Sus scrofa: one gene and its partners. The protein of the gene in region 1 interacts with the protein of each later gene in a pairwise test. Links are inferred from orthologs where the notes say so. Each region holds a gene or a part of one and is shown in the gene's direction. Other genes may lie near its edges. The genes, in order: DISC1, KANSL1, XPNPEP1, FBXO41, BICD1, TFIP11 and RABGAP1.

Region 1 (3,500 bases):
TGGGAGTGTGCTGGTGTTTGGCTTCAGAGTGCTTGCTTTCCATGCCGCTCCAGGGGGAAAGCTCTGTGTGCCTAAAAGAGCAACAGGCAAGATGCTGGAGGCTCAGAATGTGCTGCCGTAGTTGGGTCTCTGAGGCGCTTGCAGTCTTGTCAGTATAACTCACAGCAGTGCTGGCTGCTCTGGAAATAGAGGGGTTGGGATGCTGTGCAGTTTCTACACATCCCAGGCAGACGCTTCCCAGGGATCATCAGGGTTTGGGTAGCAGCTTGGCCCCATGGCCATTGCACCAGCATCTCTTTGGCAGATGCACCGAGGGTTGCCCCCAACCCGGGGACGTTCTCCAAATGCAGCTGCAGCTGAGCTGGGGAGATGTGTGTGCTGATGGTGCGTGTCCTCTTTCCTCCCAGGCCGCCAAGATGGCTCACCACCTGCAGCGTCTTTTCGGAGGAGGCGGCTGGCACGGAGGCCAGGCTACATGAGAAGTGCAGCTGGGCCCCGGATCAGGTTCTTCTCGCCAGCAGTGGGCAGTCTGCTCCGGGCCCAGGGAGGGGCATGCAGTGAGGAGACCCAGCACTCTGAACCCAGGACAGGACCATGTGGCCGTGACCCTGGAGGCCAGGGGCAGGGTCCCTCGACCGGGACCCTCATTCCCTGGAGCACAGCAGCCTCTGCTTGGACCTCCACGGGCCCCCGAGGCCTGGCTCTGACAACAGGGAGAGGAACCCTGGGTCTCTCAGGGATTCAGCCCAGAGGTGGCCGCGCCCTGCCCAGCAGGCTGACTAGGTCGTGTGGCTCCGGGGACAACATATGCCAGGGGGCGCCACCATCCATGGACAGTTGGGAGGCTCCGAGCCCGAGTCGGGAAGCAGCCTGTGGGAAAGGAGCCCTGGACACCTGGGCCAGAGGCTCTCTATCCCCAGAGGAGGGAAGTGGCACCAACTGCAGCCTCGGAAGTGGCCCCAAGGTCGACCCCACCCCTCCTGGCTCTCAGGATGTCTTCACCTCCAACTTCAGCTTCATTCGCCTCTCCCTGGTCTCTGCCGGGGAACGTGGAGAAGCAGAAGGCTGTCCGCCACCCAGAGAGGCTGAGGCTTCTCATCAGAGCCCCGAGGAGACAGTGGCCAAGGCTGCTGGTGTGGACGGGCCCCATGAACACCCTCAGCTTCTCTCTCCCGCCTCACCCCTCAAGGCTCCTCAGGACCTGGCAGATGCTGCCCAGATGGCGGGGGACAGCCCCAGACTGGAGTGCGAGATGCTTCCTTTGCTGGACATGGACGCTGCCTCCTTCTGCTCCCTGGATCCCTCGAGACCCGAGGGCAGCCACCCTCAGGATGCTGACCTCTGGGACCCACTGCTCCGCACTTGTGAGCCTGCGCTGCTGCACTGCCTGCAGGGCCAGCGGAGGCGGCTGGAGGTGGGTGTGTCCCGAGCCTGTGGGCTGGGATGGTCTCACTGAGGAGGGGGGGGGCCGCAGGAAACGGCGGTTCTGGGGTTGCCCCAGTCCCCACTGGAAGCCCCTGTGGTGACTGGCCATGGAAAAATGTTGCTACACTTGCATCTCTCCTCCTTCTGTTGGAACTCTAATCTGGTCTCGTTCTCATCCTCTGTCCCTTAGATGCTTGCTTCGCTCTCTGTTGGCTTCAGGCTCCTCTGCAGCTTCTGGTCTGGGTGATGCAGGGTTAGCTCAGCCTTGCTCTGTTTTAAACAGGAGAAGGGGGACAGGGAGCCGGGGAGGTGGAGTCAGTCGCTGTGTGGATATAAAGATGATGATGCCCCAAACTGGGGGCGATCTGGAGCTGCTTCTGCATGCGCAGTGCTCATGGCATCCTCAGCAGCAGGGACTACTGATTTTGTTTCTGGTCCTTAAACTTCTCAGGCCCTCAGTTTCCTTATTTAGAGATGCTGACATCACACAAGATTGTTCTGTGGCTCAAGCTGGAATGTGAGTGCTTTGGAAATTGGGACAGGCGGTATAGAAGCAAGTTCCAGCATCATGACTTGCTGTCCACTCATCTGAGGGGGTACAGCTGGGGGTAGACAGGGCTGTTCTACCCTGAGAAGTCCCCAGAGAAACCCGCGCAGAGAGGCTTTGTGGCAACCCATTGGCTCATCCTGTTCAGAGACTGTGTTTTCCATCTGGGCTGTGTGCATGTGTGCACGTGTGCATGTGGGGATATGCATGCGTAAGCAGGGAAGTCGAGTCTCATTAGGATTTGGTAGGAGTACGTGAAAATGTGAGGCTCATGTTCCTTCCCAGCAGTGGATCTCCTTTGCTCTCTACTGCATATCCGATGTTCTTGGCCCCGGCCCTTTTGCCCTGTCTCAGCCTGGCTGTGGGATTTATCAGCCAGGGAGGTGGCAGAGCCACTTCTGTGTGAGACCTCTCCTACCCCCCCCCCCACCCCCGATGACCCTCTCCTTCCATCCTGTCCCTCAGCCCTTTGGATGTGCCCCATTCAGTGCTCATCACATTAATAATCATTTGCTTGTGGGTCCAAGTTCTACACTTGACTCAGACTTTTTTTTTTTTTTTTTTGTCTTTTTAGGGCCTCACTCATGGCATATGGAGTTTCCTGGGCTAGGGATTGAATCGGAGCTACAGTTGCTGGCCTACACCACAGCAACAGCAACGTGGGATCTAAGCCGTGTCTGTGACCTACACCACAGCTCATGGAAATGCCGGATTCTTAACCCACTGAGGGAGGCCAGGGATTGAACCAGCATCCTCTTGGATACTAGTCGGGTTCATTAACTGCTGAGCCATGACGGGAACTCCTCTTAAATATTTTTGGATGCATGATGCCTGGCCTACTGCCTGGTGCTTGATTACTGTTTGTTTTCAGTGAAATAATTTAGCTTGTTAAGATGGGCCACAGGGAGTTCTGTTGTGGCTCTGTGGGTCAAAGACCTGACATAGTGTCTATGAGGATGTGAGTTTGATTCTTGGCCTCGCTCAGTGGGGTAAGGATCCAGCGTTGCCACAAGCTGTAGTGTAGGTCACAGATGTGGTTCAAATCTGGTGTGGCTGTGGTGTAGGCTGGCAGCTGCCACTCTCATTCAGTCCTTAGCCTGGGAACTTCCATATGCTGCAGGTGTGGCCATGAAAAAACAAAGAAAGAAAAAAAAGAGATGGGCCATAGATATCTAACTGACAGATTTCTGTGGTTGTCTGTCTGAGGCCTAAGGAGAGGGGCTGAGAGGCACACATACAAGGATACAGGCACTAGGTGGAGGTTTGTACCATGATGCTTTTCGGACTCTAAATGACAATTTCCAACACGTTATTTCTGAGATCCTTTAAAAAAAATCTTGGCGGGGATTTCCCGTCGTGGCGCAGTGGTTAACGAATCCGACTAGGAACCATGAGGTTGCAGGTTTGATCCCTGCCCTTGCTCAGTGGGTTAAGGATCCGGCGTTGCCGTGAGCTGTGGTGTAGGTTGCAGATGCGGCTCGGATCCCGTGTTGCTGTGGCTCTGGCATAGGCTGGTGGCTACAGCTCC
Region 2 (3,500 bases), on another chromosome or scaffold:
CCCTTCGTGGCTCAGCAGAAACAAATCTGACTAGCATCCATGAGGACGCAGGTTCGATCCCTGGCCTTGCTCAGTGGGTTAAGGATATGGTGTTTCCGTGAGCTGTGGTGTAGGTCGCAGGTGCAGCTCGGATCCCATGTTGCTGTGGCTCTGGTGTAGGCCAGCAGCTATAGCTCGGATTTGACCCCTAGCCTGGGAGCTTCCATATGCCACAGGTGTGGCCCTAAAAATGAAAAAAATAAAAAATTACTCAGTGCCACAGTCTCAGGAAAATAAAAAAGGAAACTAACAAAATGAAAAGATGAAAGAAACAGTAATGACCCTCAAAAAGAGTATAATTAAGCCTAAAAGAGGAGCTCCCCTGGTGGCCTGGTGGTTCAGGATTCAGCATTGTCACTGCTGTGGCTTGGGTTTGATCCTTGGCCAGGGAACTTCTGCATGCTGCAGGTGTGGCAAAAAAGAAAAAAGTCTAGAAGACTAATTTGTGATACTGAATATTAACTGATGAGCTCACAAACTTAGGTACTGCAGGTGGGATGTGGTGGAGGTCTGGAGGAAGGAGGGGAAGAAGGTGTAGTTCTTGTTTAGGGGAAGGTTTAGTACCCAGCACAGTACCTAATGAAATAGTAGACAGAACATAGCCATTGAATGAATGTGTCCTGATTAGCTTTACATTGATAGAAGTAGGTTTGAAATGTTTGTTTCTTGAAGAATAAGAACAGGATGTATGTCAGTATTTCAAAACGGTAAAGTTAACAGTTAGAACATACCAACAAAGAAAAAAAAATCCATCATCTAACAAAAGGTTTTAGACTTTGTTTTTATTTGGAACTTGAGAATAAAAGGCAACAGCGACTTGCCTATGAATAAGAGTGACTTTCAGTAAAGTTCCTATAAACAGGTCTTCCACGTGATAGCACTTGTCCTGCTTGGTTACCCTGCCACCGGGCAAATAAAAGGATGTGGTGAGGGTCTTGCTCACTGGAGAGCTGGGGTTACTGTGAACATGCCTCAGAGCCTGGGGTCTGGACTAACCTGTGGTGTTCTGTTCCTTGCAGATATTCCCACAAGCCTGCACTTCCAGAGCATGCTGAAATCTCAGTGGCAGAACAAGCCTTTTGACAAAATCAAACCTCCAAAAAAGTTTTCACTTAAGCACAGAGCACCCATGCCAGGCAGTCTGCCAGATCCAACTCGTAAAGACAGGCACAAGTTGGTCAACTCCTTCCTAACAACAGCGAGTAAGTTGCAGGGATGCAGAGAGTCCTCCAATTACAGTTCTGTTCCTTTTATGGTCTCCGGTTATTGATGTGGCCTTGGCAATGGCACTGTGTTGGGGTTGGGAGAGGCAATTGACTTGTGTAAATTCAGCTCACAGTCGTCTTTTTCTACTTGTCTTGGATGCTCTCAGATGGACTTGGAAAATCATTCCAGACACCATGTGTCTTGGGGCTCAGTGAACAGCCAGTGGAGACATGAAGTTGGGTCCATTGGGCAGGCTCTCTTCTTAGTCTGGTGTTGCATTTTTCTCTGGTTGAGGGCCCTGTGGGCTCCCTGGCCTATCCTGGCCATTGTGTTATTTGCTGGAAGCTTAAGTCCCAGAGGATTGTTGTGCTGCCCTTGGTTTGTCTATTACTGGCCTAGAGAGAACTCAGGAGCTCGGAACTCAAATAAGAAAAGAATGAGAAAAGATACTTCACAGCTCTTTTTCTGTTCCCCTCTTCAGAGCTGTCCCATCACCAAACCCGGCCTGACAGGACCCACAGGCAGCACTTAGACGATGTGGGGGCTGTGCCTATGGTGGATCGAGTGACAGCGCCAAAAGCAGAGCGCTTGCTCAACCCACCGCCACCAGTGCATGACCCAAACCACAGCAAAATGAGATTGCGAGACCATTCATCTGAGAGAAGTGAAGGTAGGGCCAGGCCCGGCACCTCTGCCTGCATTTGCACCTGCTCGGCTTTCCGGGGCAGCCTGGGCTTCTTGTCATTGTCCCTAGCTTTGTCCTGCACTCTCTAGAAAGGCAGAGTAGAAGGCCCTGCTGCCTCTGAGTGTGGGTCACTGCTCTCACTGCTGCAGCAACCTCTGCTCCACCCCCCACCTCCTGCCAACCAGTTTGCTTCGTCTTTTTATCCTCTAGGCTTAGAAAGCATTTTTGCCTTTCTGTGTATTGCTGGCATTCCTTGCTTGTGCTGGAAGACGAGCTGGTCAAGGTAGCCACATATTCATTCCTCTTTTCTGTTGACTTCTGCAGTGTTGAAGCATCACACGGACATGGGCAGTTCGAGCTACTTGGCGGCCACCCACCATCCACCACACAGTCCCTTGGTGCGACAGCTCTCCGCCTCATCAGACACTTCTGCACCCACCAGCTCTAGCCCACAGGTTACAGCCAGCACGTCTGTAAGTACCTGTGGGGAGTTGGCCGGACAGCCCCTCTGTGGTGACACTTCTTTCAAGTGGGTCTGGAGGACAGTGTGGAGAAGGGGTTGTCAGAGCCAAGGCAATTATAGGGACTCAACTCATCATGACATTTGTCATTTTTAAGTCAAAGTCATGCTATTTGGTCTTCTGTTATGTAGTTTTCCTTGGGTTGTTTTTTCATAGTAGGGATGAATCTGAGCTAAGCTTGCTGTAAAGACAAACTTTTTTTTTTTTCCTTGGCTTTTTAGGGTATATGGAGGTTCCTAGGCTAGGGGTCAAATTGGAGCTGTAGCCACTAGCCTACACCACAGCCACAGCAACACCAGATCTGAGCCGTGTCTGCAGCCTACAATGCAGCTTGGGGCATTGGGTCCTTAACCCACTGAGCGAGGCCAGGAATCAAATCTGCATCCTCACAGATCCTAGTTGGGTTCATTAACCACTGAGCCACAAAGGGAATCCAAACTCTTAAAGGGATCTATGGCTCTTCAAGATCTGTGGGTCTGTATTTCACAAAGAACTCAGTGATACCATGGCTGTAACTGTATTGGTCCAAGAAGTAAACACAAGAGGAGGGATGCAAGAGAGATGCCTGTGGGCCTTGGAGACCCTTGTTTTCTGTGTTTTTACTGTCCTGGGGGGTGCTACACTGGTGTGTTAGGGCGCCTGGAGGGGAAGGGGCACACGGAGCCCATGCGTTGAGGTGTACAGAACAGCCTCACAGGTTCAGCAGGCCACACGGACATGTAGGACACCCAGATGGCAAGCTGTCTGACCTCCATCTGCTTTTGCAGCACCACACTCCACCCTGTAAGCTGTTCGCACGACCGTTCTAGACGCATGTTCATGTTCTTATGCCTCCTTGAGCACATATACCTGTTGCTGCTTTGTGCCCGTTAAGAGGGTCCTTTATATAGCAGTCCTCATCGTAACAGCCAAAGGCTCCTACTATAGTGCTTATTGTGTCAGTGCTAAGTTATTTTAGATGCGTTACTTCATTCAGTCCTGTAATGCCCTTTGACATGTAGGTGGTATAAAAGATTCCCATTTTGTTGGCAGGGAAACGGAGACTTGCC
Region 3 (3,500 bases), about 61 Mb from region 1:
CTGTTTCTCAAAGATCTTTTTTTTTTTTTTTAATTTGCCTTTTAGGGTCACACCCGCAGCATATGGAGGTTCCCTGGCTAGGGGTCAAATTGGAGCTGTAGCCACCGGCCTATGCCATAGCAACATAGGATCCGAGCTGCATCTGTGCCCTACACCACAACTCATGGCAACACCAGATCCTTAACCCACTGAGCGAGGCCAGGGATCGAACCTGCGTCCTCACAGATGCTAGTCAGATTCGTTAATTGCTGAGCCACGAAGGGAACGCTCTCAAAAATCTTTTAAAAAATATAGAAACGTTGAAGTTATAGGTGATGTTACCCCAGTTCTTTCTCTCTCTTTCACTCTCTGTCTCTCTCCACACACACACACACACACACACACACACACACACACACACACAGATGTTCAGGGTTGTATAGCTGTTATAAATGGATTGGTTACCTCACCTTTAAACTTTTTAATTACATGCCTCTGTTGATGGCTCATGCGTCTGCGTGTATATATATTTACTTTATAAGAGTTATATGGATGTGCTAGTGACCATCTGTATTTTCAAATACAAGCAAAAATTAGTTGCTTATTTTTTTAGGAAAAGAACAGATGGGAGTTCTGATCCTTTCTACTTGCACCCCCGTGGATCATTTAGCGTGCCCCTGGAGTGTGGGCATCTCTCCTTGGGGCTGTAACTCCAGCTGTTAGATGCATAGCACTTTGGGGTCAGAGTGTCAGAGGAGCAGATACTGTCTGCCTGTTCCTTAGAACAATCCTGGGGATGGCTCCTCCCTTCCAGCCCCTCTCTAGTTTCTTCCCTGTGCTGACTCTTCCCTAAGCCTACCTCCTCAGCGTCTCTCCTGCATGGGGAGTTTCTGGTGGGTGTGGTTGGGGAGTGATTCACCCCCAGGGTTTTGCCAAACATCTGTCTGCTAGTAGATAACATGACTTCATCCTGTGAAAGTTCTACCAGGGGCATTAAAGAAACTTCATTAAGAAGTGGCTTGTTCAGCAGTTTGAAAAAATATAGGGCCAAATCAAATAGCAAGATAACAGCTCAGTGCAGCTGAGTATTTGAGAACTGAAATTCATGAGCTCATTTCTTTATAAACCTTTGAACTTCCTTTCTGTGGTTATATGATTATCAGTACTCAGGGAAAATGGTAAAAAATCAGTACTGTTTCAGAATATGTGAACTTTCACTCTTAATGTTTTACCAAATGTTATTTAGCAAAAATCTGATGAAAAAAGTATACATCCCAAATATACAAGATATTGGGATGGATTAAAGAAAAACTGGGATATCAAAAATGACTTCAGTTCCTTTTGCAGAGCTGATTGATGTCCTGTGACTAGTGTTGCAGAAACCGAGAGGGCTGTTTGCTCTTGGTAGTGGGAGGCCCAGGGAACCACGTTAAGGACACGATGTTGGGCTTCTGTGTGTTCCTCTTATAATCTTTAATCTTTGGATAGATTTCTCTGCTGCCAAGACGTGTGCTCAGCCCTCCAGTCAGACCCAGGGCCTTTTCTCTGCCACTCTGCCCTCCAGATAAGGGGAGGCTGCTGTGGTGTGTATTCCACTTACCTGCTGTGGGATGTCAGGGAGGCTCCCAGCCCCAGCCTTCACCATATCACCACCCAAGCTCTCATCACATGACCAGTAGTGGAAAAGTGACTGGAGGCTGATGAGGTGATCTTCACGATGACAGCACATACCTACGTTGCAGTGATTCTCGGGTTGCCTTTCACTGGGGGTCTAATGAAAATCCTGCTTTTTTTTTTTCCTTCTGTCTCACCCTTATATACCGTCTTACCTTATGCTTTCCTTATATAGTGTCTTACACTTCTCATTACTTTCCAGGATTAAGGGAAGTTTAGATTTTCCAAGTGCTGTCAATTCTCTTTAGTAAAAGCACCTTCTTTAGTTTGTTTTTATTAATTCACCAACTATCATGATGTTGGTGAATTGCATCCTGCTAGATGGGACAATGAGCTTGGGCCCCCAGGAATTGTTTCTTATTAGTTCTTCCCTCTGTAGGTCTGAAGGACACACCAACTCAGGAAGACTGGCTGGTGAGTGTACTTCCTGAAGGATCCAGGGTTGGTGTGGACCCATTGATCATTCCTACAGGTGAGTAAGCATAGACCCTTTCAGCTTGGGTGAGGAAGTGGGTTCTAGATGCCTCTCCATCCTCCTTGTTTGCTTGTGGAACGTGGAACATTTAGGGCTCAGCATGAATTGATGTCACAACAGAGGTCAAGGTGAGGAGAAGGGTTAGCAAAGGGCCACAGGAATATTGCCTTTCAGAAGGTGCCAGGCTCTCAAAGTGCTGCTGTCTGTAAAGTATGTTCCGCTCTTAGCTAGACCACGTGTGCTTCTCCTCAGATTACTGGAAGAAGATGGCCAAGGTTCTGAGAAGCGCTGGCCACCACCTTGTTCCTGTCAAGGAGAACCTTGTGGACAAGATCTGGACAGACCGCCCTGAGCGTCCGTGCAAGCCCCTCCTCACCCTGGGCCTGGATTACACAGGTCGGAACGCCATGCCCTGCCTTCACCTTCAGCCCCTACACTTGAGTGAAGGTTTTCTGAATCCAAGTGGAGCTTGAGCTGATGGGGGGATTTTGACCTGTCCAAGCCCCTGAGACATTTGATGCAAGCAGTTCAGTTTGTTTCTACTCTTGTCACCTATTTCCCCTACTTTGGCATAGTTTATTTTTGCAGAGCTCTTCTGGGTGCTACTGAGATGTCTTTTCTACCACTCAGTTGCTCACTGCCCCTTTAAGACATGTCTGATACTGGAAACAGAGACTAGAGGTTTCTAGCTTCCATTTCCTTTTCTTCTGTCTAGCATTAAACCTAGCATTTGTAGGTTTACCTTTCCAGGCCCCCCCCACCCTCTATCTACCTTGTACTCTAAAGGCTTTGGGGGGTGGGTGGGTTTCTTGGGCCTGTGTGACATTGGTGAGTAAGGAGCAAGTTCTGTGGGAGATGCAAGTGTGGATTTCTGGAACAGTGAGAAGTGTGGAGGGAGAGGCCTGGGAGGTGGGGCTGCAGGGGAGGGAGCCTTGCTGTTGAAATGGAAGAGGAGAGGTGGATGGGGGATGTCTGGAATGTGGGCCCGTTGCCCAGAGGGGTCCTGGGAAGAAAGCATTACAGCCCAGACTCTGAGCCAAGTTTTAAACAGCGTTCCCGAGCTGATCTTCAAAGCAGTGTTTGGTTGTGGAGGCAGCCGCCAGCTCACTTTCCTTGTGACGCCCTCACCTGAGGGTGTTGCAGTTTGGGGGGATGGGTCCAGTGGGTGGTCCAGGGTCACCTAAACATTTCCATCAGTGTATTTTGGATTTTGTTTAACTGAACAGGGCTCTGACCTTTTGCTTGTACAAGAGGGGAGAACATATATGGCTGATAAGGCTTCTGTTCAACTGACACATGAGTACCTACTGTGTGCAGGACACTGCCGTGTGTTGGTTGAATAAGACAGATGCCTGCCCCCTTCACAGGTGGC
Region 4 (2,914 bases), on another chromosome or scaffold:
TGTTGAATGACTGAGTGAGAAAGTGTGGGCATGAGTGGCTCAGTGTCAGCAGCGTGGAGGATGAGCCAGCACAGAGACTGGGTTATAATCAGATAACTGTTGATGGTGGTCGGAAGTGCAGATTGAAGTTATTCAGGAATCAGATTCTGCAGGTCTTGGCAGGAGGTGAGGGTGGAGGGGTCATGGATGATCCCAGGTTTCTGACTTGAGTAGTTGGGTGGTTGTTGGGCCCTTGCTTCGCAGGCCGGCCCCGAAAGAGGAGCAGGCTTGGGGGACCCTGCAGCCAGTGGCTTCCCTGACAGCCCTCCCTCGACCCTGTTTTCCAGCCAGCAGCCCACGCGCTTCAGTAACCGCTGCCTGCAGATGATCGGTCGCTGTTGGCCCCACCTCCGGGCCCTGGGGGTCGGGGGTGCTGGCTGTGGGGTGCAGGGCCTGGCATCACTCGGTGAGTCTTCTTTGGGACCGGGGTCTGGGGTGATGGGAGGCAGGCATAGATGCAACACTGAAATCGCAGCCGGGCTCGGGGTTGCAGGCCGGGTGGCGGCGGTAGCCCCGCGCTGGGCAGGAGGTGAGCTGGGGTGTTTGTCAGCAGGACCTCCCCTCCTTTCCCTCTTCCTAGCGAGAAACTGCATGCGGCTGCAGGTCCTGGAGCTGGACCACGTGTCAGAGATCACCCAGGAGGTGGCGGCGGAAGTCTGCCGGGAAGGCCTGAAGGGACTGGAGATGTTGGTGCTCACGGCCACCCCTGTCACCCCCAAGGCCCTGCTGCATTTCAACAGTGAGCGATGTCGGGCACCCTCTGCTCTTTGACCCCACCCTCCACCTTCCCCCCCTTGCCCCGCTGAACCCAGGGCAGCATGGGTCCGCTCCCCGTGCCTGGCACACAACTGTCTCTCAGAGGGTTCTGACTTAGTAAAAGGAGAGGAACCAGCCCCATTGCCCAGGTCAGACGCCGGCCCCCACCTTACCCACCTTTTCCCAGGCATTTGCCGGAACCTCAAGTCCATTGTGGTCCAGATTGGGATTGCCGATTATTTCAAAGAACCCAGCAGTCCTGAGGCCCAGAAGCTGTTTGAGGACATGGTGACAAAACTCCAGGTGAGCCGTTGGCTATGAGGCCGTCCAAGACCCCAAGTGGCATCCATAGGCTGGGGTTGGTGACTCGGGTGTTTGAAGGGAGGGCTTCACCTGTCTGGCCCCGAGGGGAACTAATACAGGTTTGGTCTGCAGGCCCTGAGACGGAGGCCCGGCTTCTCTAAGATCCTGCACGTCAAAGTGGAAGGCGGCTGCTAACCCGGGTTGGGGGCGGCAGGGCCCCTGCCAGCCCCACGCCAGGGCGCTCTCTTTGGACCTCCAGAGGGACCCTGATTTGGACTTGACCTTTGGAGGCCTAGTGATATCCTCCCCGGCCTCCAGGGAGGGGTTGTCAGTCTCCTGTCCTCCTGCTGGGACAGTGGAGCAACAGGCCTGACCCTGAGCACAGCCCCTCCTGGGCAGGAGCTCAGACAGAAGCTGTCCCCTGACTCCCCCTACCCCCACCCCCAGCTGGAGCAGCCTTCTGGGCACAGCCAGAGAAGAGCTGGGTCACCACCAGCACTCGGTGTCATCGCTCTGAAGATCTGCAATAACCAACCACCCAGGGCTCCTCAGCTGCTCAGTTGGCTGGGGCAGGCCTCTCCTCTCGGAGGTCCGGCCTCCTGGTCGGGGGCCTCTGCTGGGCCCCAGGCCAGAGGGTTGCTCCACCCGGCAGCTCAGACTTGCAAGGAGGGCTCTTCTCTCCCCCAGCCCTGTCCCAGCCCACCGTGGGGCTCCCCCTTCAGGCAGCCCTCAGGGCTCTGGGTCTGCATTCTCCAGGGTTAAGAGACAGGCAGAGGGGTCTGAGAAGGTGGTCCGCCCAGAGTGGGAGGTGGGGGCGCAGTGAGTGAGTGGGAGTGGGCTTGAGGGACAAAACATTCATCCAGGACTTTTCCCCAGGACATCAAGACCACCCCTCCCAAGAGGGGGCTGTTGCCAGGTTGAGAACACTTAGTGTTTTTATTGCTGTAGAAAAAAGACCCCTCCCAGCTGCCAGGTACCCCACGACACACCAGAACTAAATTCAGAGCTAAAAGGTGCATGTTTCTATATCTTCCACCAGCCCTGAGCCTCTGGAGGGGCGAGGTCCCAGCTGGGAACTGCTGTCAGCAATGAGAAACAGATCATGTCCTCAAGGAATGTACTTCTAACCCAGGTGCTTGGGCAGGAATCTGATGGCCTTTGGGTCCCCAAGGCTCTGGGGAAGGGAGTCACTAGGCTGCCCTCTGTGCAAGGACCTGGAGGAGCCCAGAAGAGGCGTGGTTTGGTTTGGTTCTCATCTGGCTAGCTTGCTTGCAGTTGTGGCCTTGGTAGGGAGCCAGACCCATGGGGCCAAGAATGAGGATGAGCCCCCCTCGTCGGACTTGCTCCCTCCAGTCTCTGCTGGCCCCACGGGCTGAGGGCTGTGTTGGGCATCTTCTGCGTGGGGCAGTGCTGGGACCTGAGCAAGACCATTGGCTTAATACGCAAATGGGGGCCTTCATTGACCCTTGCATGGTTCCCAAAGGACCAGGTCCTGGCACTATGGCTTTAAAGACTCAGGTGTCCCCAGTTCCTCCTCTCAGGACTCCCACAGTGATACAAAAGCTGTGGGTCCTGCCAACCTTCATTTGGAAAGTTCTTTCAAACATTAACCTAGATCCATCTTAGGGGTTCCTTCTCTCCTGTTACAGGATGGGCTCTCAGCCCTGATTATTAGGCCCTTGGTCCTGGCTGGGGCTGGGCTCCTCTAGTTTCTCAGTCTTTTCCAGGAACCCAACTCTCTGCCACAACCTGGCATGGACATCAAGACCTGCCCTGGGGTTCCCTCCAACGAGGCCTCCAGAGCTGGGACCCCATG
Region 5 (3,500 bases), on another chromosome or scaffold:
CGCACATACAGCATATGGAGGTTCCCAGGCTAGGGGTCCAATTGGAGCTACAGCTGCCAGCCTAAACCCCAGCCATAGGAACACAGCATGTGAGCCACGTCTGCAACCTACACCACAGCAACACCAGATCCTTAACCCAATGAGCAAAGCTAGGGATCAAATCCGAAACCTCATGGTTCCTAGTCAGATTCATACCACTGCGCCACGATGAGAACTCAATGTGATACTATTTTTTTGGGAATGTTTGGTTTCTGTAGCCACAAGTACATACTTTGCTGTCTGTGAGTGAACTAACAGATCCACAGTGACCAATAACTGATAAACTTTGAATGATGTGACTGATCACTGGTCATGATGTCTTTACACGGTGATTTTGTAGATTGAAGCAGCAAAGTTTGTACTTTGCACATTGCCCATGGTTAATATACTGATCATTGAAATTTGAGCTTTGTTTGGAGAGGACTGGTGTTTTAACTAAACTATGGTCCCTGAAATTCACGCATATTAGAATTTGGCCAAGTGAGGAATGTACGTAATAATTACCTGAAGGATATCAAATACCATAAAGAATCATAAAAATAAATATAAATTTATAAATAGATACAGATCTCTTAAAGTCATGTGCTGGTTAAAATATTAATTACATTTTAATTTTTGATATTTATTTTTACTTGCATCCTAGGAATTAGAAGAATTTGGAGGGATATAACATATAATCCAGGAAAGGAGTTAGGAACCATGAGGTTGCAGGTTCAATCCCTGGCCTTGCTCAGTGGGTTAAGGATCCGGCGTTGCCATGAGCTGTGGTGTAGGTCGCAGACGCGGCTCAGATCCCACGTTGCTGTGGCTCTGGTGTAGGCTGGTGGCTACAGCTCATATTAGACCCCTAGCCTGGGAACCTCCATGTGCCGTGGGAGCAGCCCTAGAAATGGCAAAAAGACAAAAAAAGAAAAAAGAAAAAAATATATAATCCTGGAAAGCTTGAAAGTTCAGCTTGACAACTTCCTTTAGATGTAACGACATTCAACATCAATCTGTTATTTTTAAAGTAGGTCTCGTGGTTTATTTAAAAAAACAAGAGAAAATAAAGAATGTAAACAATATTATTTAATTATTGAAAAACATTGTTACATTATAAGCATGTAGAAACTCTTTAAATCATAATAGTAACTACTTATATGCAGAGACAGAAAATGGTTTAAAAATTTCTCAGGTGGAGTTCCCATTGTAGTTCAGCAGGTTAAGAACCTAACATAGTGTCCCTGAGGATGTGGGTTTGAGCCCTGGCCTCACTCAGTGGGCTAAAAATCCAGCGTTACTGTGGCAGTGGCATAGGCCTGCAGCTGTAGCTCTGATTCCACCCTTAGCCCAGGAACTTCCATATGCCACAGGGGTGGCCATAAAAAGAAAAAAAAAGTCTCAGTTTACAATTTCTTATATACTTGTATTTAATGAGACAGCATTTTATGTTAAGACTTGAATATTTTTCAGTATACAATAATACTTACTACCTGTACAATAACTGCCAAGTTATTTAAATTAATTGCTAACTTTTAAAATTCCTATTTTGAACTGAAGGAATTGAAATGGTTTACAAGTTGTTCTTTTAGCCCTAAAACTTTATATTTTCTGACTTTTGTATTAAAAGCTATCAAATTTAGTGCATGTCTGTTTTGGGGTTAAATGCTTATTTTTTAGGGGATAGTTAAGGTTCTCAGTATTATTTAGTAAGGTAAAGCCTTAAGTTTTAAATTTGACTTAGGGTTGGGCTCTGAGAAGGAAAGGACAATTCATAGGCACCTTGAAACAGTCACTTTTCTGATGTTCTCTAACGCTTTCAAAATAAGGACAAAGCCAAGTACTATCTCTTGAAGTCATGTTATGTTTTCTGAAGGATGTTAAAAGATTAAAAAAATACATAAGATTGTTTGAGTAACATTCAAGTTTCATGAGAGTGTGTGTATAACACATAAGAATTTGGATGGGTAAATATGCAGAGCATAATTCTTTTGGAATGATGTACTTTTGATTGATTGACTTACCAGAACTGCAGAAGTAAGAAAACATACTTCGATTCAATTTGTAGGAATGGGAACATTGACTCTGCTGCACTTTTTCAGTGTATGCATGTCCAAATGTGAATGGGTCAAGTTCATCACTGGCATTGCATTGAAATCATTCAGAGACTTTCTTTTGCCTTTGCAGGTAGAGCGGGAAAAGGCCATTCTTCTGGCCAATCTCCAGGAGTCACAGACACAGCTGGAACACACCAAGGGGGCGCTGACAGAGCAGCACGAACGGGTGCATCGGCTCACAGAGCACGTTAATGCCATGAGGGGCCTGCAGAGCAGCAAGGAGCTCAAGGAACTGGATGGGGAGAAGGGCCGGGACTCAGGGGAGGAGGCTCACGACTATGAGGTGGACATCAATGGCTTAGAGATCCTTGAGTGCAAATACAGGGTAGCAGTAACTGAGGTGATCGATTTGAAAGCTGAAATTAAGGCCTTAAAGGAGAAATATAATAAATCTGTAGAAAACTATACCGAAGAGAAGGCCAAGTATGAGAGTAAGATTCAAACGTATGATGAGCAGGTTACAAGCCTTGAGAAGACCACCAAGGAGAGCGGAGAGAAGATGGCTCACATGGAGAAGGAGTTGCAAAAGATGACCAGCATAGCCAATGAAAATCACAATACCCTTAATACAGCCCAGGATGAGTTGGTGACATTTAGTGAAGAGCTAGCTCAGCTTTACCACCATGTATGTCTGTGTAATAATGAAACGCCTAACAGGGTCATGCTGGACTATTACAGGCAAAGTAGAGTCACCCGTAGTGGCAGCCTGAAAGGGCCCGATGACCCCAGGGGACTTTTGTCTCCACGGTTAGCCAGGCGGGGTGTGTCATCCCCAGTAGAAACAAGGACCTCACCTGAACCAGTTCCAAAGGAAAACCCAGAGGCCAGCAAAGAACCAAGCCCAACCAAGACCCCCACCATCTCTCCTGTTATTACTGCCCCACCATCATCTCCAGTGTTGGACACAAGTGACATCCGCAAAGAGCCAATGAATATCTACAACCTTAATGCCATAATCCGGGACCAAATCAAACATCTGCAGAAAGCTGTGGACCGGTCCTTGCAACTGTCTCGTCAAAGAGCAGCGGCACGGGAGCTAGCCCCCATGATCGATAAAGACAAGGAAGCCCTAATGGAAGAGATCCTCAAGCTCAAGTCCCTGCTGAGCACAAAACGGGAGCAGATCGCCACACTGAGAGCAGTGCTGAAGGCCAACAAACAGGTGACCTCATTCTACTGATGGGCCGTGCTAGGCAACACTTTCGTTTATCCCTTAATGTTTCTGAGAGTCTAGAACTGTCAGGATGAGGGTTCAGATTCCTGGTCAGTGGAGGAATAAAACAAACTATAGCCAGAGCCAGATCAGAATGTAATAATTAGTTTGAAGTGCTGAATCGATGGAACAAGAGAGTAGCTATGCCCCAC
Region 6 (3,500 bases), about 15 Mb from region 1:
GTAGGTTTGATTGGTGAGATATTTTTCATAATGCTCTGTGACTGCCAGGTCATGCTCCCATCAGCTAAGCTTGCTTTATTACGTTTTCCTTCTTTTTCTATTAACTAAACTTTGATTTTTCTCCTTTTCAGGGTGGTAACTTTAAACCCAGTCAGAAAGGTTTTGCAGGAGGAACCAAGTCGTTCATGGATTTTGGCAGCTGGGAAAGACACACAAAAGGAATTGGACAGAAGCTGCTTCAGAAGATGGGCTATGTCCCTGGAAGGGGCCTTGGGAAGAATGCACAAGGTGTGGCAGTCCCACCCCACAGTCTTGCACTTGCTGTCAGGCAGAGGTGGGAAGAGCAGGGAGGGCAGTGGCCTCCTCTTTTCTGCTTTTTCACTGTTCGGAGGGCTGGGACCCTGCAGCCTGTTCTGCCAGCACAGATGCTGTGCTCTATGCTTCATGCTTTATCAGAACTCAAGTTACATAAAATACTTGTTTCGGCAGGAGGGAGAGGTTAGGGTTTAAATCAGGCTGACAGGCTGAGAACAGGCTTCTTTCTAGCCTGCCCGGTGTTTCTAAAAAATCAAACTGGTTGCCAATATTTAAAAAGCAGACAGTTTCACTTCCATTCTAGAGTTGCCTGGCAGTGACTGGTTTAGCTGAGTCCTTGCTGTCCCAGTCAGCACCCAAGGCCTTCTCCTGGAAGCTGCCTCCACACTCCCCTTTTACTCCAGCCCACTTTCCCTGTTCATATTAATGTTCCTGGACCCTAAAGGCATATGAGTTTGGACTCTTGCTCATGCGGGGGCAGGACAGGTAACTATTTTTTAGTTTTGCAAAAAGCCAGTTACCTGTCCTTCAGGAATATCAGTAAAACATCAGGTGTTGCCTTTTGTTTTACAACACTCACCAGTGGGATGTCATCAGTAGTATTCTCTGTAATTCAGATTCAGCCCCTAGGTATTATAAAGTTAGATATGGATTGTGGGTTGAAAACATCAGCCGTATGAAGAATCCATGGACTTGAGTGGCAATGGCATGGGAGTGAGGGAAGTGTGCTAATTGGGATTTCAACAGTACTAGCTGGAAGGGGCCTGGTAGGAAGTCTGGGGTGTGGCAGTTCTTCACTGAAATGCAGTCCTGTTTGTAAACTTTTACAAGAAAAATACTTATTTTCCAGGCTTAAACTTGTTATAGCTCATAGGAGATATGAACTCCTAAGTAAAATAGGTGGAGTTTCATATTAAATGGCAGCTTCACCTTACTTCAGTCAGAATCAATATAATATCTGAATTAATGGGCTTCCAAATGAGCAGAGTATAGAATCTAATTTGCCTGAGATCCCAGTTATAAAATATTCCTGTCCACTAAAAAAAAACCAACAAGTCCAAGTAGAAATGGAAGTCTGTATTTAGGATACAAACAATATCAGCACACTGTTTTGTGGCAGCACACACGCTCAGAAGCTTCTGGCCACACAGGAGCCAAACGGTGTCGTGAGGGCAGAAGCATGTTTCCTTCCTGGGTAGCATGTTACTGTGTGTGAGGACCAGGAGTGTGGTCTCCCTGAGTGGCTCACTCACAAGAACTGCTGTGATCTGAAGTCTGTCTTTTGCTGCAACTTGCCAGGTATCATTAACCCAATTGAAGCCAAGCAGAGAAAGGGGAAAGGCGCGGTGGGGGCGTATGGCTCAGAGCGCACCACCCAGTCCCTGCAGGACTTCCCCGTGGTTGACTCTGAGGAAGAAGCTGAGGAGGTGAGTCAGGAGATGGGCTGGATTCTGTCTCTGCCTCTTGGGACTGTTGTTTGCTCATTTGTTCACTCGGCCAGTGTTTAGAGGTCGCTTGCACAGCAGGTGCCAGACACTGCTGAAGGCTGGTGTCCTGCCGTGACCAGGCGTGGAGCCTGGTGGACAGGGAGCAGTAAAAAAGTAACCACGGTGTGGTTAGAAAGAGCAGTTGTGCCAGGAAGTACTCAGAAGAAAGTAGGTTGGCTATGTGGGGAAGGGGTCTGAGCCTCAGTATTTGTAAGGCAGGGAGTGGGCATCAAGCAGTGTCTTTGGATGGTCTTAGTGTTATGGAGGGACGGTGCTTAGCATGGTGTTCTGAAAGCCTCAGTGTCCCCACTTGCGGGAAAAAGTGGCCCTTTCTTGTTGTGATGGACTATGTTATATTCTTGATTCAGGAATTTCAGAAGGAGCTGAGCCAGTGGAGGAAAGACCCCAGCGGAAGCAAGAAGAAGCCCAAATACTCTTACAAGACAGTGGAAGAGTTAAAAGCCAAGGGCAGAATTAGCAAGAAGCTCTCTGCTCCCCAGAAAGAGATTTCTCAGGTCAAGGTATGGGGGGCCCATGGACACCTGGTCCAGGATGGAGGCTTGCAAGACACACACACAGTTAACCACAGCAGCATCAGTCACCCAACACTTGCTCATAAGGTTCCTGTGGGTCTTCTGGGCAGGCTTTCTTGTGTGTCCTGCTTTCTTGCGTGGCAGTAGCCTCTGCCCATTTCCTGCACTCCCATTTAGGCTCATTGTTGTTCCTACCCTGTGCCAGGTGCTCTTCACTACACTACAGTGCTAAATCCAGCACTCCAGCTCTGCAGCTTGCTGTCCGTGAATTCAGTGATGTTCGTGGTATTCTGTTGCTTCATCTTTAACTTTTGTGGTTTTGTTGAGAGCAGGTTAGCCTTATCTTTGTGGGGTTTTTTGTTTTGGTCTTTTGTCTTTTTAGGACCGCACCCACGGCATACGGAAGTTCCCAGGCTAGGGATCTAATTGGAGCTGTAACAGCTGGCCTACGCCAGAGCCACAGCAACACCAGATCGAGCCGCGTCTGCAACCTACACCACAGCTCACAGCAACGCTGGACCCTTAACCCATTGAGCGAGGCCAGGGATTGAACCTGCAACCTCATAGTTCCTAGTCACATTCATTTCTGCTGCGCCAAGATGGGAACTCCTGTTTTAGACTTTTTAAAATGATAGATTCCTAGAAGTACAGTCACCAGGTTAGAGAATAGGAAGGTTGCTCTCACTCACTGTGACCAGGAGTGGGCCCTCAGCCTTGAACTTAACATTAGACTTTTAGCCTCTGTTCTGTCCATGCAGTCTCTGCGTTCTCCCTCACTGTCCCAAGTAGCCAGAGAACTGTGGTGACAGGTATCTCTTGTAGTTTGTCGTAGGAGATTGTGTGTGTCATGGAACCCAAAGTCTGGAGTGGGGTTCTCAAAGGTCAAGGTGTTGTGTATCAGGTTATTTGGGGACCTGGTAGGAAATGCAGATATTTAAGATACAGCTGGAGGTTTTGCCTCAGAGATCTGGCTGGGCCCGAGGGCTCATGCTTGTTATCTTTCCCCAGGTGATGCTAACTTATATACTCTAAAGTGGTGGCGGTACTTCTGTTACTGTATAGACATGATCACATCTCCTCAGTCTTCTTCAGACATTGAAATTAGCTCATCTCCTTGGGTGCCTTTGTGGGTTTTGTATGTTTCATGTTATTTTAAAATTAAAAA
Region 7 (4,204 bases), on another chromosome or scaffold:
AATCTAATTATAATAGAGAAGTCACAAAGAGGATGCAACAGAGCACAGCTCTTTTTGATTTTTTTCTGGTTGATGTGGATGCAATAGCCACAGGAAAATGGTGCAGATGACTCATTTACCAGGAAAAGAGCATATGCTTTGAATAAAGAAAGAAGAGTGAAGGAGAGGCTGAGGAATAATTTCATAAATTGTCAAGACTTAATTAGCACCTTTATTCCTTACTTTTGTTTCCAACTACGTTGTAAATTTATTCTTATCAGGCACTTTAAACTTCATTCTATTGCCCTTGCTCTGTATATCTCTTTTGAATGGTTTTGTTTTTTTGGCAGCCCAGGGCATGTGGAAGTTCCCATGATAGGGGCTGAACCCATGCCACAGCAGTGACCACGCAGGATTCCTAACCCCCATGAGCCACAAGGAACTCCTTTAATGATTTTAAATAAAATCCCAGCCCCATCTTTGAGTACCACCCTGAAACAGCCTTGTTCCTTTTTTTTTTTTCCTTTTTTCTTTTTAGGGCCTCACCCGTGGCATTTGAAGGTTCCCAAGCTAGGGGTCGAATGAGAGCTACAGCTGCCAGCCTTTGCCACAGCCACAGCTACAGCCACACCAGATCTAAGCCCTGTCTGCAACCTATACCACAGCTCACCGAAAAGCTAAATCCTTAACCCACTGAGCGAGGCCAGGGACTGACCTGCATCCTAATGGATACTACTCAGATTGCAGATTCTTTCCGCTGAGCCGCCACGGGAATTCCAACCTTGTTCATTTCTGTTCTTTTTTTATGTCTCATATCTCAAGCAGCTGTCGTAGCCAGTAGCCCTCCCGAGTTGAAAGTCACAAGTTTTGTTACTTAAGCTGGACTCTAAAAATGACAAAAATCGTCATTCGTAATGTTTGTGATAAACCCAAGCGATCTATAAAAGGACCCATCACAATCCTTGGCACGTTTTTGCGCGGTCAATAAAGGCCAGGTGAATTAAGTATCATTAAGGGCCACTTTGAAACAGCACTTAAACGTTAAAGGTGAGTAGGATATTCCTTGCCCCAGCACCAGTCGTTTGGGGGTTGTACACCCTCTCAGACGCAACAGACGCTACCCAGCCTGTTCCCCTTGCCAGTCCTGCTTCCAATCGGTGATGTAGAAAGAACCCCCGCCGGTCCAAGCGCAAGAACATGGCAGAGTCCACCTCCCACCTGAGTCCAGCTCGTAGAGTGCAAACTCCGCGCAGGCGCAGTCTCTAGAGGCGGGCTAAAAGTCCAGGTGGGGCTTCGAGGAAAGGAAGTACGCCCCCGCCGCCCGCTGTTGGGCCAATTGGGCCACACGGTTTTGCAGCAGACCTATGAAACAGAGCAGGAGGCGGGGCGGAGGGCGGAAGGAGCCGCTCTCACGTGAGTAGGGGGCGGGGAGGGCGGGGGCAGGGCGGCTGGGGAGGCCCAGGCGGCGGAGCCTCCGGGACGGCGAACGGCGGGCGGCGGAGGAGGAGACGGCGGGTCGGGTAGGGCCGCGTTTCCCCTCCTCCTCCTCCCACCCTCCCATCCCCTAAGCCCGGGGGTGTCCTCCGACAGCCCTTGCGGGGAGCCAAGCTGTGTTCTCATCCCGAGGGGCAGGGCAGGCGAGACTGCGCTCAGCTCCTCGACGAACCGGGTTCTGAGAGCAGCCGTGATTGGGGGGAGGGGGAGCCCTGGTGTAGGGGGGAGGACGCATGCGCAAGCGACAACGCTCCGGAGCCCCTGCCCAAACCGGTTCCCCCTGTCTGGGTGGGTGTCTGTCTTCCCCGTCCTGCACTTGTGGCCATGCCTCTCGCCCCCCCAGCAAAGCCGGTTTGTCTGTTGACTTTCGTGTTTTGGGACAGGTCCTGTTTGGGAATTCGGCTGCTCCCTCCGCCTCAGTTTCTCCCCGTTGCCCGCTGGGCCTGTATCTGTGACTTGGGCTGGCTTCGGCCTCAGACTAGCTTCCTGGGCTGCGCCTAATTTGAAAGACTTGCTTTATTCTAATGTCGGTCTGCCTTCTCGTGTTGGCCTTGCTGTCTTGTTTTCTGCACCTGCAATGGAAGTGTCCCTGGTATCCCATCTCCCCAGATACTTCAAGTATCTGCCCACAATACCTCATTTCTGAGTTTTGATTCCCAACACTTTTCCGGGTTTTAAGTGTTGAGCCTGGGGGTGATTAACTACAGATTTCCAGGAGTTCGCTGTCCATTGCCTGGTAGTACTTTGGTGTTCTTGCTCTCACGCTGTTATTGTCTGCACCTGCTTTTACAGACATCACCATACTTACGGTTACTCGAGGATTCCTTTTTCTTGAAAACAACTGTCCTAGCCGACCGTGTTAAGTGATCATGTTATTAGTGCTCACGCTACAAGTGCTCCGTTAGTTTAAAATCATGTTCCAACTTGAATTTGGGAACTTTTGTTGTTTGCTGTCAGTGAAAGAAAAACTGTCGGGGGCAGGGTTTCTCAATTCACTTGATATTTTCATTCAATAAACACCTGTATTCACGTACATGTGACTGGAGTAGTAAGTTGTGTGTGTCTGTTTCCAGCTGCTTTGTTTATTTAGGAAGGAAAAAAAGCAATGGAGAGTAACTTGAACTGAGTTGGTCACATAAAATTGAAGTCTGAAAAGTTGAAAAACTTAAGTGCCAAGGGAGTGCACATACGTTTTGTTTTTCCTAATGAAGGACCTCTTGGTCTTAATTCTAGCGTGTATAGGGTGGTGTTTTAATATGTATTTAAAGCTTTTAAATCGAGTTTATTTATAAAAACTGAAAATGAATCGGGTGTTCGTTATGATCTTCTTTTGTAGACCTCAATTTGCATAAATAAAATTTGAATCCATGATTGGCTTGTATTTATTGGTAACATTTAAGATTCACATATAGTTTTAATACAGATTATCAACTCAAATTTGTAATTAAAATCGAACGATTGCTATGTCGTACACTTTCTTTTTATTTTAGTTTTATAACTCAGTTTACAGTTAAGTCAGGTCATTGTTATTAAGGTGTATGTTTGGGTAAGTAACCTGCCAACTGTATGCATTTCGGCATTTTTTGGCATAATGTTGTATTAGCACTTTACAGGTGCTTAATCTGGATTAAAAGGTAGTTTAGTGGGACTGTGTAAAAGTGTAGGCACCTGTTTCCTATTTTTTCTACTGCCTATTGAAAGAAGTGTACTATGTACATTATCTACATGAGGGGACATGATTTCCTATAAACATCTCAACTTTACACCCCAGATTGTTTTAAGAAGTCATTTTCTATGAGTATATTTCCAGCTAGACTTTACAGCCCAGGTTCTTCTAAAGAAGTCATTGTCTTTTATTGAGCATGTTGCCAGCTGAAGTGTTTCCTAGCTCAGATGAAGCCTATTTTGAAGGTCTCACAATTTCACTTTGATTGTTTTAACAAGTTACCTTTGAGTACAGGCTTCAGAAAATAATTAGCTTAAATCGTTGTAACTGTTGTCTTTATAGATACTGATGTGCTGAGGTTCTAACATAATACAGCTTGAGTATTGTCTTTGTAGTTTTTCATATAATCAGATATTACACTTTTCAAGCATATGAAATAAATGAGTATAAAACTCTTATTAATCTTTTTTGGAGATAGAACTCAAATGTTAACACAGTGCTAAATTAACCCAAGCAGAGTTTAGCGTGACATTTGGGTGCTTTGTATTGTTTTGTTGGTTTTCCATAGTTAGATTCTAAAGCGAGAAAATCCAAGGCTAAGGACTTAGCTGTCTGTGGATGTACATAATAAAACATAGTTTTAACAGCTGTTTCTTTTTTGCATAAAATGATTACCTGGTCTGCCCCTGCAACTCCAGTTTTGTGTTGATCCTGAGATCCTTATTCTTTGGAAAACTTGTGAGTCAAAACAATGCTGGATAGACCCTTAAACTTAGAACCACTCTTGTTGACCCTTAAGCCGCCTTGTTTCTTGTCATGTGCAAAGACTCTCTGACCAAATATGGCATTTTGCAAGTCATGAACACTTTAGTTTATAGAATTTAACCTGTTAGTTTCCCTTTTGTCAAATTAACCATAGTACTTTGAGATAATCATCAGAACTAATAGAGTTTTGTAAGGCCTGACTTTCCTCCCAGGTCTCTTTTGCTGTGGATCACAAAATAGTAAAAATAAAGCCTTAAACTTATTTTTAAGTTCATGCTTGACATTAAATAGTATATATTA

What was found.
Region 2: the proteins of DISC1 (region 1) and KANSL1 interact in a two-hybrid assay, tested with the Homo sapiens proteins (2 studies listed by BioGRID and IntAct). The link is inferred for Sus scrofa from reciprocal best matches to the Homo sapiens genes DISC1 and KANSL1.
Region 3: the proteins of DISC1 (region 1) and XPNPEP1 interact in a two-hybrid assay, tested with the Homo sapiens proteins (2 studies listed by BioGRID and IntAct). The link is inferred for Sus scrofa from reciprocal best matches to the Homo sapiens genes DISC1 and XPNPEP1.
Region 4: the proteins of DISC1 (region 1) and FBXO41 interact in a two-hybrid assay, tested with the Homo sapiens proteins (2 studies listed by BioGRID and IntAct). The link is inferred for Sus scrofa from reciprocal best matches to the Homo sapiens genes DISC1 and FBXO41.
Region 5: the proteins of DISC1 (region 1) and BICD1 interact in a two-hybrid assay, tested with the Homo sapiens proteins (2 studies listed by BioGRID and IntAct). The link is inferred for Sus scrofa from reciprocal best matches to the Homo sapiens genes DISC1 and BICD1.
Region 6: the proteins of DISC1 (region 1) and TFIP11 interact in binary tests that used the Homo sapiens proteins (3 or more experiments, as listed by UniProt). The link is inferred for Sus scrofa from reciprocal best matches to the Homo sapiens genes DISC1 and TFIP11.
Region 7: the proteins of DISC1 (region 1) and RABGAP1 interact in a two-hybrid assay, tested with the Homo sapiens proteins (2 studies listed by BioGRID and IntAct). The link is inferred for Sus scrofa from reciprocal best matches to the Homo sapiens genes DISC1 and RABGAP1.

Annotation. Positions count from the first base shown.
Region 1 is NC_010456.5:58,908,455-58,911,954, reverse strand, and holds part of DISC1 (disrupted in schizophrenia 1 protein), read left to right. Parts: intron 1-407; 5' UTR 408-475; coding exon 476-1,414; intron 1,415-3,500. UniProt on the Homo sapiens protein: Involved in the regulation of multiple aspects of embryonic and adult neurogenesis. Required for neural progenitor proliferation in the ventrical/subventrical zone during embryonic brain development and in the adult dentate gyrus of the hippocampus.
Region 2 is NC_010454.4:17,086,612-17,090,111, forward strand, and holds part of KANSL1 (KAT8 regulatory NSL complex subunit 1), read left to right. Parts: intron 1-1,058; coding exon 1,059-1,241; intron 1,242-1,726; coding exon 1,727-1,915; intron 1,916-2,254; coding exon 2,255-2,403; intron 2,404-3,500. UniProt on the Homo sapiens protein: Non-catalytic component of the NSL histone acetyltransferase complex, a multiprotein complex that mediates histone H4 acetylation at 'Lys-5'- and 'Lys-8' (H4K5ac and H4K8ac) at transcription start sites and promotes transcription initiation.
Region 3 is NC_010456.5:120,336,996-120,340,495, reverse strand, and holds part of XPNPEP1 (xaa-Pro aminopeptidase 1), read left to right. Parts: intron 1-2,032; coding exon 2,033-2,125; intron 2,126-2,380; coding exon 2,381-2,524; intron 2,525-3,500. UniProt on the Homo sapiens protein: Metalloaminopeptidase that catalyzes the removal of a penultimate prolyl residue from the N-termini of peptides, such as Arg-Pro-Pro. Contributes to the degradation of bradykinin.
Region 4 is NC_010445.4:69,520,527-69,523,440, forward strand, and holds part of FBXO41 (F-box only protein 41), read left to right. Parts: intron 1-326; coding exon 327-445; intron 446-619; coding exon 620-778; intron 779-982; coding exon 983-1,098; intron 1,099-1,230; coding exon 1,231-1,293; 3' UTR 1,294-2,914. UniProt on the Homo sapiens protein: Substrate-recognition component of the SCF (SKP1-CUL1-F-box protein)-type E3 ubiquitin ligase complex.
Region 5 is NC_010447.5:41,947,801-41,951,300, reverse strand, and holds part of BICD1 (protein bicaudal D homolog 1), read left to right. Parts: intron 1-2,205; coding exon 2,206-3,297; intron 3,298-3,500. UniProt on the Homo sapiens protein: Regulates coat complex coatomer protein I (COPI)-independent Golgi-endoplasmic reticulum transport by recruiting the dynein-dynactin motor complex.
Region 6 is NC_010456.5:44,102,709-44,106,208, reverse strand, and holds part of TFIP11 (tuftelin-interacting protein 11), read left to right. Parts: intron 1-131; coding exon 132-288; intron 289-1,614; coding exon 1,615-1,742; intron 1,743-2,170; coding exon 2,171-2,323; intron 2,324-3,500. UniProt on the Homo sapiens protein: Involved in pre-mRNA splicing, specifically in spliceosome disassembly during late-stage splicing events. Intron turnover seems to proceed through reactions in two lariat-intron associated complexes termed Intron Large (IL) and Intron Small (IS).
Region 7 is NC_010443.5:263,856,097-263,860,300, forward strand, and holds the start of RABGAP1 (rab GTPase-activating protein 1), read left to right. Parts: upstream 1-1,404; 5' UTR 1,405-1,499; intron 1,500-1,556; exon of another isoform or gene 1,557-1,761; intron 1,762-4,204. UniProt on the Homo sapiens protein: May act as a GTPase-activating protein of RAB6A. May play a role in microtubule nucleation by centrosome. May participate in a RAB6A-mediated pathway involved in the metaphase-anaphase transition.